2 linked regions of the Mus musculus genome follow. The protein of the gene in region 1 interacts with the protein of each later gene in a pairwise test. Links are inferred from orthologs where the notes say so. Each region holds a gene or a part of one and is shown on either strand. Other genes may lie near its edges.

Region 1 (3,727 bases):
TCACAATCACCCATAATGAGATATTATACCCTCTTCTATCTGAAAACAGCTACAGTGTACTTATATCTAAATATTAGTAATAATAAATAGTTATATATAGTAAATTAATCTTGTTTTGTTTTGTTTTGGTTTTGGTTTTTTTTTTGTTTTTTGTTTTGTTTGTTTGTTTGTTTGTTTGTTTTCAAGACAGGGTTTCTCTGTATAGCCCTGGCTGTCCTGGAGCTCACTTTGTAGACCAGGCTGGCCTCGAACTCAGAAATCTGCCTGCCTCTGCCTCCCAAGTGCTGGGATTAAAGGTGTGCGCCACCACGCCCGGCTGTTTTTTGGTTTTTTTTTTGTTGTTTTTTTTTGAAACAGTGTTTCTCTGTGTAGCCCTGGCTGTCCTGGAACTCACTCTGTAGACCAGGCTAGCCTCAAACTCAGAAATCCGCCTGCTTCTGCCTACCAAGTGCTAGGATTAAAGGCGTGCGCCACCACTGCCCAGCAAATAAATACATCTAGAAAATATATTAGAAAAAAAAAAAAAAAGAAAGAAAGAGAAGAGCAGATGCCTCCCAGCAAAGACTGAACGTGAGCATCTAAATGCGTCCGTCGGGAGTGATCCACTCTGTCCTTTAAGCTGTTTTCCAAAACCAAACATGATTTAAAATAACATCAGCTTCTAGTTTTCTCCTCACCTGGATGCTGAGAACTGTGTATGATATGCCTGTGTAACTGACATATCCTTTTGTTGTTTTTGTTAAAACCCCTATGGGCTAGGTAAATGTAGCTGGTTGGAGGGCTGAATTTAATCCCCAGCACCCCAAATAAAAAATAAACCATCCTGTGGTACTTTTCTTCAAAGCAGATGTCCTATATAGTCTTGTGTTTCTCTTTGCAGCAAACGTCAGTGTTGGAAATGAAGGAAAGTGGGTACCAAACTGTAGTAGGAGGTGGGCAGAGGCAATTCATTTTCGTTTTAAGAGGGGAAAAGGCTCTTAAGAACTATGTAATTTATTCAGGGCTGTAGAGTAAGATCTAGGGGTACTGCCTTAGCCTGCTTCCCAGTTTCTGTTATAGTTCACCCTTGATACGTCACTGCTCTCCTATGATCAGAGTTCTCTGTAGCATCTCTATGGCATAAAGGCAGATGTCCACCTTGGCTAGGACAAATAAACCCATATAGGGCCAAGGTCAGTGTGACCTCCATTTTCTATTGTGAAATCTAAGCTGGCTTTCTTGGGTAACTGAGAGATGAGAGGCTCCCTATTAATACACACATGCACATGCCAAACCTTGTACACAAAAGCTAAGAATGTGGCATGGGGGGGTGGGGGAGTGGATACCTGAGAGCATGCATCTGGATGTGGAGGCCCCTCCTTTGTCCAGGTTCTGGAAAAGGTCATTAGATTACTGCGAAGGAGGTTGAATAGTGCAGAAATGAGATCTCTCTCTCTCTCTCTCTCTCTCTCTCTCTCTCTCTCTCGTGCATGTGTGCTAGTGTAGAACCCAGGGATCCATGCACGTTAGGAAAGCATGCTGCCACTGAACTATGCCCTCAATCTCAACATGTCTTTGAGTAAGAAAGTATACCCCAACAGAAGAGCATGCCAGCGCATTGTCATGTGCAAGAGTATTATGTTGGCATATGTCCCCACAGTCTATGGGTAAGAAGGCAAATAAGCCATCCCCCAATACTCACGTCGGCTGCCTTCTTCTCTGCTAGCTCCAGCTTCTCCTGAGCATCCTTTAAAGCTTCCGAATACTTGTCCAGCTCATCCTCTGTCCCTTTCAGCTTCTTCTGCATGGTTGCTAGTTCATCCTCTAGCTGGAGCCAGAGCCCAGAGAGTAACACACAAAGACATAAACACAACAGTGTATACTTGGACTCCAAAGAGCACTGAGCCCAGCCCCAGGAGAGACACACTTCTTCAGCCATGCTCCAGGCATCAGGCTATGGCTTCACCTCAGACCCTATAATGTCTGGCCCCAAGGTGACCAAGTCATCTGGTGCTTTAATGCAAGACTGTTGAATGATAAACATCTAGTGGGGAAGCTTATTTCTGTGATGTTACAGAGAGAGACAGAGAGACAGAGAGAGTTGGATCATTCCTTACCCTTTGCTTTAGAAGTAAGACATTCTTCAAAATGTGGTCTACTTCTACTTAAGTCCTGCAGGCACACTGTGGCTAGGAAGAGGCCACCGGCTTTCTCAAGGTCACATGACAGTGCAAAGGGGCTACCCTAAAGCAATGGTGCTCAGCCTTTCTAGTGCTGAGACCTTTTCATACAGTTCCTCATGTGGTGGAGACCCCCACGCATAAAATTATTTTCATTGCTATTTCATAACTGTTAATTTTGCTACTGTTTAAATCATAATGTAAGTATCTGTGTTTTCTGATGGTCTTAGGCAACCCCTGTGAAAGGGTTAATGACCCAAAGGGGTCTCAACTCTCAGGTTGAGAACTGCTGCCCTAGATGTTCAGGGGGAGGGGCTTCATTGAGACTGGGGCATTCCTCCCACCCAAAAAAGAAGCTGGCCCAGTGGTCACTGCCTCTCCCATGAACCCCCTGCCCCTCTGGCTGCCTTGAAACTCAGCCTCCTGAGTGCTGGGATTACAGGGGTGTGTGCCACCATTGCCTGGACCATCTCTGTCTTGCAACCAGCAAGTGGGAAAGGTCCATACCAGCACCTACCTGCTTGCTTCTTTCTTCTGCCTGTTTCTGCTCAGCTTCAGCTTGCTCAGCTCGGTCCAGAACATTCTCTTTGTCTAACTTCAGCATCTGCATCTTTTTCTTGATGGCCTCCATCATGAGCTGTGACCGTTGGTGGGCTCACCTGTGAACACTGGAGAACTGGAGGCTGGGGCCAGAGAGGAAGGGCTGCCACCCGGGTCACTCAAAGTTCCCCAGGTTTGAACCTTTATCTGTGCTTGCGGCTCCACCTCTTCTTCCTAACATGGTCTTTCTAGCTCCCTCCCATCCCTTCACTGTTCCCCTGGGGGAACACAGGGTCAGACACATTGATAGACTGACATCACCAGCAAGAAAAAAAAAATTGAGGAACAGCTGAGGCTGATTTTAGACAATGGAAAGTGGGGGTGGGGGAGGTTCTCCCTGACCTTGAAACTTTCCACTCGTTCTTGGCAGCTCTGTGGGTCCCTCAAAAGTAGAGGAACAGAAGAGGGGGGAACACTGAAGCACAGAAGGGTACTTTAGCAGTTCTCGCCACCAGAGGGGTCCTAGTAGCCTTCAGATCTCTCATTCTCCCCTTGGACTATATTGGATATGGACCAAACTCTACTGGTTTGGTCTTTGGATTCCTGGTATCTAAGGAGCGTGGTCAACAGTGACGATGGGAGGTCACTCATGATCGTTGACAATTCCCCCAGATTGACAGTTGGGATTGCTGGGCTATTTTGGGATTCTCTAATAGGCAAGGAGACATTAGTCTGTAAAGGCCATAGGATAAAGTTGAAGGCCTGGGATCTGAAAGGGTATCTCAGGGTGTCAAGTGGGATGAGAAACAAGGAGGTCACAGAACAGGATCACGTTTTCTCATAGCGACCTTAAAATAGAAGGTCTGACATACTGAAGACTGTCGCTTTCCTCTACTCCTCTTCAACTGCTCCCTCTGTGGCCCCCTCCCCAGCCCGCTGTCCACCATGCCATTATAGTGTCCACCAGCTCTACTTCCCCCAGTGTAGTGCCAGCTATGCTCATAATTCCACTTGGAATCTTGCTATTG
Region 2 (3,750 bases), on another chromosome or scaffold:
AGAAATCTGTCTCTGTATACTCTAAAAACAAAAGATAACTTATGGTAGGGTTTACCTTTAATCCCAGCACTCAGGAGACAGAGACAGGCTGATTTCTATGAGTTCAAGGCTAGCTTGGTCTATGTATGGAGTGAGACACTGACTGTAAAAAATATAGAAAAGTATTCAGCAACCTGAAGGAACTATTTATAACATATATCACAGGGTTTTGATACATCAAAAGTTCTTCCAAATCAAGTTTTACAAAGATTTATACCAAGTTTAAAAGTGAGCTAAAAGGCCAGGCTCACCCTGGTAGACCAAGCCACGTGAGAGGCTGGGGTAAGCGGATCACTTAACCCCTTAAATTAGAAGCCAGCATGGACCATGTGGTGGAAATTAAAAATCAAAATCCTAAGGTACTGGGTTCCACCTCTAGTGCTGCCAAAACAAAAGGTAAGCGGGGAAGAGAAATTACAAAATAAGAGAAATGGACCCAGGAAACTGAAATCCCACAGAAGAAAGCCACACCGGTGTTAGAGATCCTAAAATCTGATTAGCTTAGTAGATTACATAATTGTGGCTAAATGGAAAGTGACAGGTTTGAAGCCAAATTACCTTGGCCTATCTTTAGTCTCCTTAATGGACTGGCCACTGTATGGGCCCGTGATTGATATAACATTTACAGGACCGTCAGGTAAATTCTTTTGCAAGCACCGACAGACCCTCACTTCCACCCACCTGAAGCACTTGGGGCCTGTAGATTTTCCTGTTTTGCTGTAACCCGCTTGGTATCTGACGGCACAGCTTACATACTTTACAAGTAGCTTGATTTGTGACTTATTTGTTCTGCGACTATTAAAACTTTACAAAACGTTTACCACGTTGGAACATGATATTTGAGGTAAGATAAATCTGTGTTCCAGGCCACGGTCATTCATATTTAGTTCCAGGATAAACTCTTCCTGTGAGAGCCCTGGTTTTGGGAGGTTTGTTTGTTTGTTTGTTTGTTTGTTTTGCATGACACTAATAAAGCTATTATAGCTTCTTACCCTTCTTAGCAACAAAGAATTTACAATTAAAAATGCCAGTTTTAACAATCAAACTCAAAAATAACAGCTATAATTCTACCACCTGAGTGTCTTAGCCTGTTGTTGGCTTGGAAATACTGTACACCAAACACAGTTTTTGTGCTCGCATTTAGTTTTTGCAAGAAGCACCACCATGTATAAAACCAAGTTAACAGGGACACTCTGTCCCCAGTCCTCTCCCTTCCTGGCACTGCGGCAAAAAGCAGGGTCAGCTATAAATTCCTTCAGCCGCCTGGGTTCCAGCTTCTCTGCGATCTAGACCTCCCAGGCGCCCTTGGCCCAAGTACGCATGCGCGCAACTGGTGCCCCGCCCCGAACCCTGCCATTCCGCCGGCTTTTCCACAGTGCCAAGTACTACGCGTGCGCACACCCGAACTAGCCATCCCAGGAGGCCCCGCGTGGTTTCCATGGCGACGCCCGCGCTTCCTTAAGTCCAGGGTGGAGGCAGCTGCGGGAGCAGCGCGGAGCAGGTAACGGCCTTGGCGCCGCCGCCGCCCCCAGCAGTGGTGGTCTCATCAGCCCGCGTCCGCCTCCCCGGAGCCGCTGGACAGGCCCCTTCCGAGGCCCGGCGCCGCGGGTTCTCTCCGTCCGCTCTATCCTCCGACCTGGCCTTGCCTCGGCGGAGCTGGTAACGTAGCCCCCCGGCGCCTCCCTGCCCGGGAGCAGCGCACACCCATCCGGGAGGATGCGCCGCCGGTGGGATCGCTGATCAGTGTCCCCCTCCACCTCCAAAGTGCAGAGAGCGAGAACGGGTCCCAAGCCTCGGTGCTTCGGAACCCCGAAGCATTCGCTACCCGGCTGGTGCTTTTCCTTCCAACCCTGGCACGCCCCGCGGGGCGTCTGCATCCTTCTGAAACGCTTCACTTGTTTTCCACCCACAGCTCGGCTGTGGGGCTCTTTGTCAACCCACCTCACTATGAGTGCTTTAAGATTTTGTTGTTTTCTTGACAACAGTTAACTCGTTTCGGGCCAGCCTTTTTTGGCGGAGTGTGACACCGGACTTGTTTTCTGTCTGCACAAATCACATAGATGGAGTCATCCCGTTCCAAAGGCTCAATGCCCACGTAAATGCCGCTGAGCCCATAATGTGTATATCAGCCCCGGCCCTTCTCCGAACACCATACGGTGAACTCAGCAGCCTGACCCTGTCTACCAGATGCCTAAGGCGTTTTCCATGCCAGCTTGTCCAAGGTGTCTGATAACCCCGCAGCCAGGCTCCTCTAAGATGCATACATAATCCATCCAGTTGCTGAAAACTTCATTCTTCTTCCACTCATCCGCACTTTTGTATCTAGTTTGACTTTACCAGCACATCCTTACAAAATACACCCAGAATAGATTCAACGGTACCATTTCTCCCAAATGGCAGTCAGTGCCTGGATTATTCCAGAAATGCCTTGCATTTCCCTGATAATATCCTTTCTCTACTTGAGCATGGTCGGTTTTTACTAATAAGATTTTATGGCCGGGCAGTGGTGGCGCACGCCTTTATGAAAACTTTAGTAAGAAATAAACACTGGAAAAAATAGTCAGGGGAGCTAGAGATGATGACCTGTCAACTTCCTCTGAATTACAGTCTAATGCTTTACAGTCACTTAGTAGAGGCAGAAAGAAAGCAAACAGGCACAACTTGCCCCAGCCCCCAAGGCAAGACTTTGCAATATCCAGAGACTGGAAACTAAGTAATGTATGAAATTGATAAATGATCAAAACCCACAAAAGTAACTAACCATCCAAAGGTTGGGCTTGACTCTTTCATGTTGCAACTCTTAAAGGCGTGTGTGTGCGTGTGTGTGTGTGTGTGTGTGTGTGTCTGTCTGTCTGTCTGTCTGTCTGTGTATGTCTGTGTGTGTGTCTGCCTGTCTGTCTGACCAACTAACTCAGAAAAGAAAAATGTGTGTTTCACTGGTGCTTTTTTTTTTTAATCATTTTTGAGACAGCATCTCAATATATAATTCTGACTGGTCTGAAATTTTCTGTGTAGACAAGGCTGGCCCCAAGCCTGGAGACACCCCCACCCCCACACACCCACATCCACTTCCAGAGTGCTGGGATTAAAGGTGTTCTTCACTATGCCTAGCTCGCTTGTAAATTTTAGAGTTGGGCTTTAGAACTCGTTGAGAAATCATCTAATTTCTTGTTTTAGGCAGCTGAGGCCAAATAGCTGATTATATTGACAAAGCTGGAGTGTAAATCCAGATACCTTGCCAAAGTCTCACTTTTATTTTTCTTCTGCCTCTCAATCCATGTTAATTCTTTTCCTCTCTAAACAGTGTTTCACTGCGTAGCCCTGGCTGTCCTAGAAATCACTCTGTAGAGCAGACTAGCCTCAAATTCAGAGATCTGCCTGCCTCTGCCTTCAGAGTGCTGAGATTGCAGGCGTGGAATGCCCAGCCATCAGTGTTAATACTTAATTTCCCTTTGTCAGGATTTAGAGGGATCAAACTTTTGAATCAAAACTTTGGTAAGTATTAGACTGCTTTCTTTGAAATCCTGGGCTCTTGGCCCCTCACCTGTACAGTGCAGTGTGCATGAACCAAGGGAAGAACTTTACTGGCTGTGTGCTTTTTCCAGCAGATGCTCTGCCCTCTGCCTTACTTACTAAAGGGCTCTAAGAACTCTTTATAAATCTCCCTGTCTGTAGCATGCCACTTACACTCTTGTTTGTTATACAGAAGTT

What was found.
Region 2: the proteins of Tpm3 (region 1) and Lca5l interact in binary tests that used the Homo sapiens proteins (3 or more experiments, as listed by UniProt). The two-hybrid records come from large-scale screens. The link is inferred for Mus musculus from reciprocal best matches to the Homo sapiens genes TPM3 and LCA5L.

The regions. Positions count from the first base shown.
Region 1 is NC_000069.6:90,071,800-90,075,526, reverse strand, and holds the start of Tpm3 (tropomyosin alpha-3 chain), read right to left. Parts: upstream 2,877-3,727; 5' UTR 2,794-2,876; coding exon 2,677-2,793; intron 1,808-2,676; coding exon 1,682-1,807; intron 1-1,681. UniProt on the Homo sapiens protein: Binds to actin filaments in muscle and non-muscle cells. Plays a central role, in association with the troponin complex, in the calcium dependent regulation of vertebrate striated muscle contraction.
Region 2 is NC_000082.6:96,189,978-96,193,727, reverse strand, and holds the start of Lca5l (lebercilin-like protein), read left to right. Parts: upstream 1-1,470; 5' UTR 1,471-1,540; intron 1,541-3,750.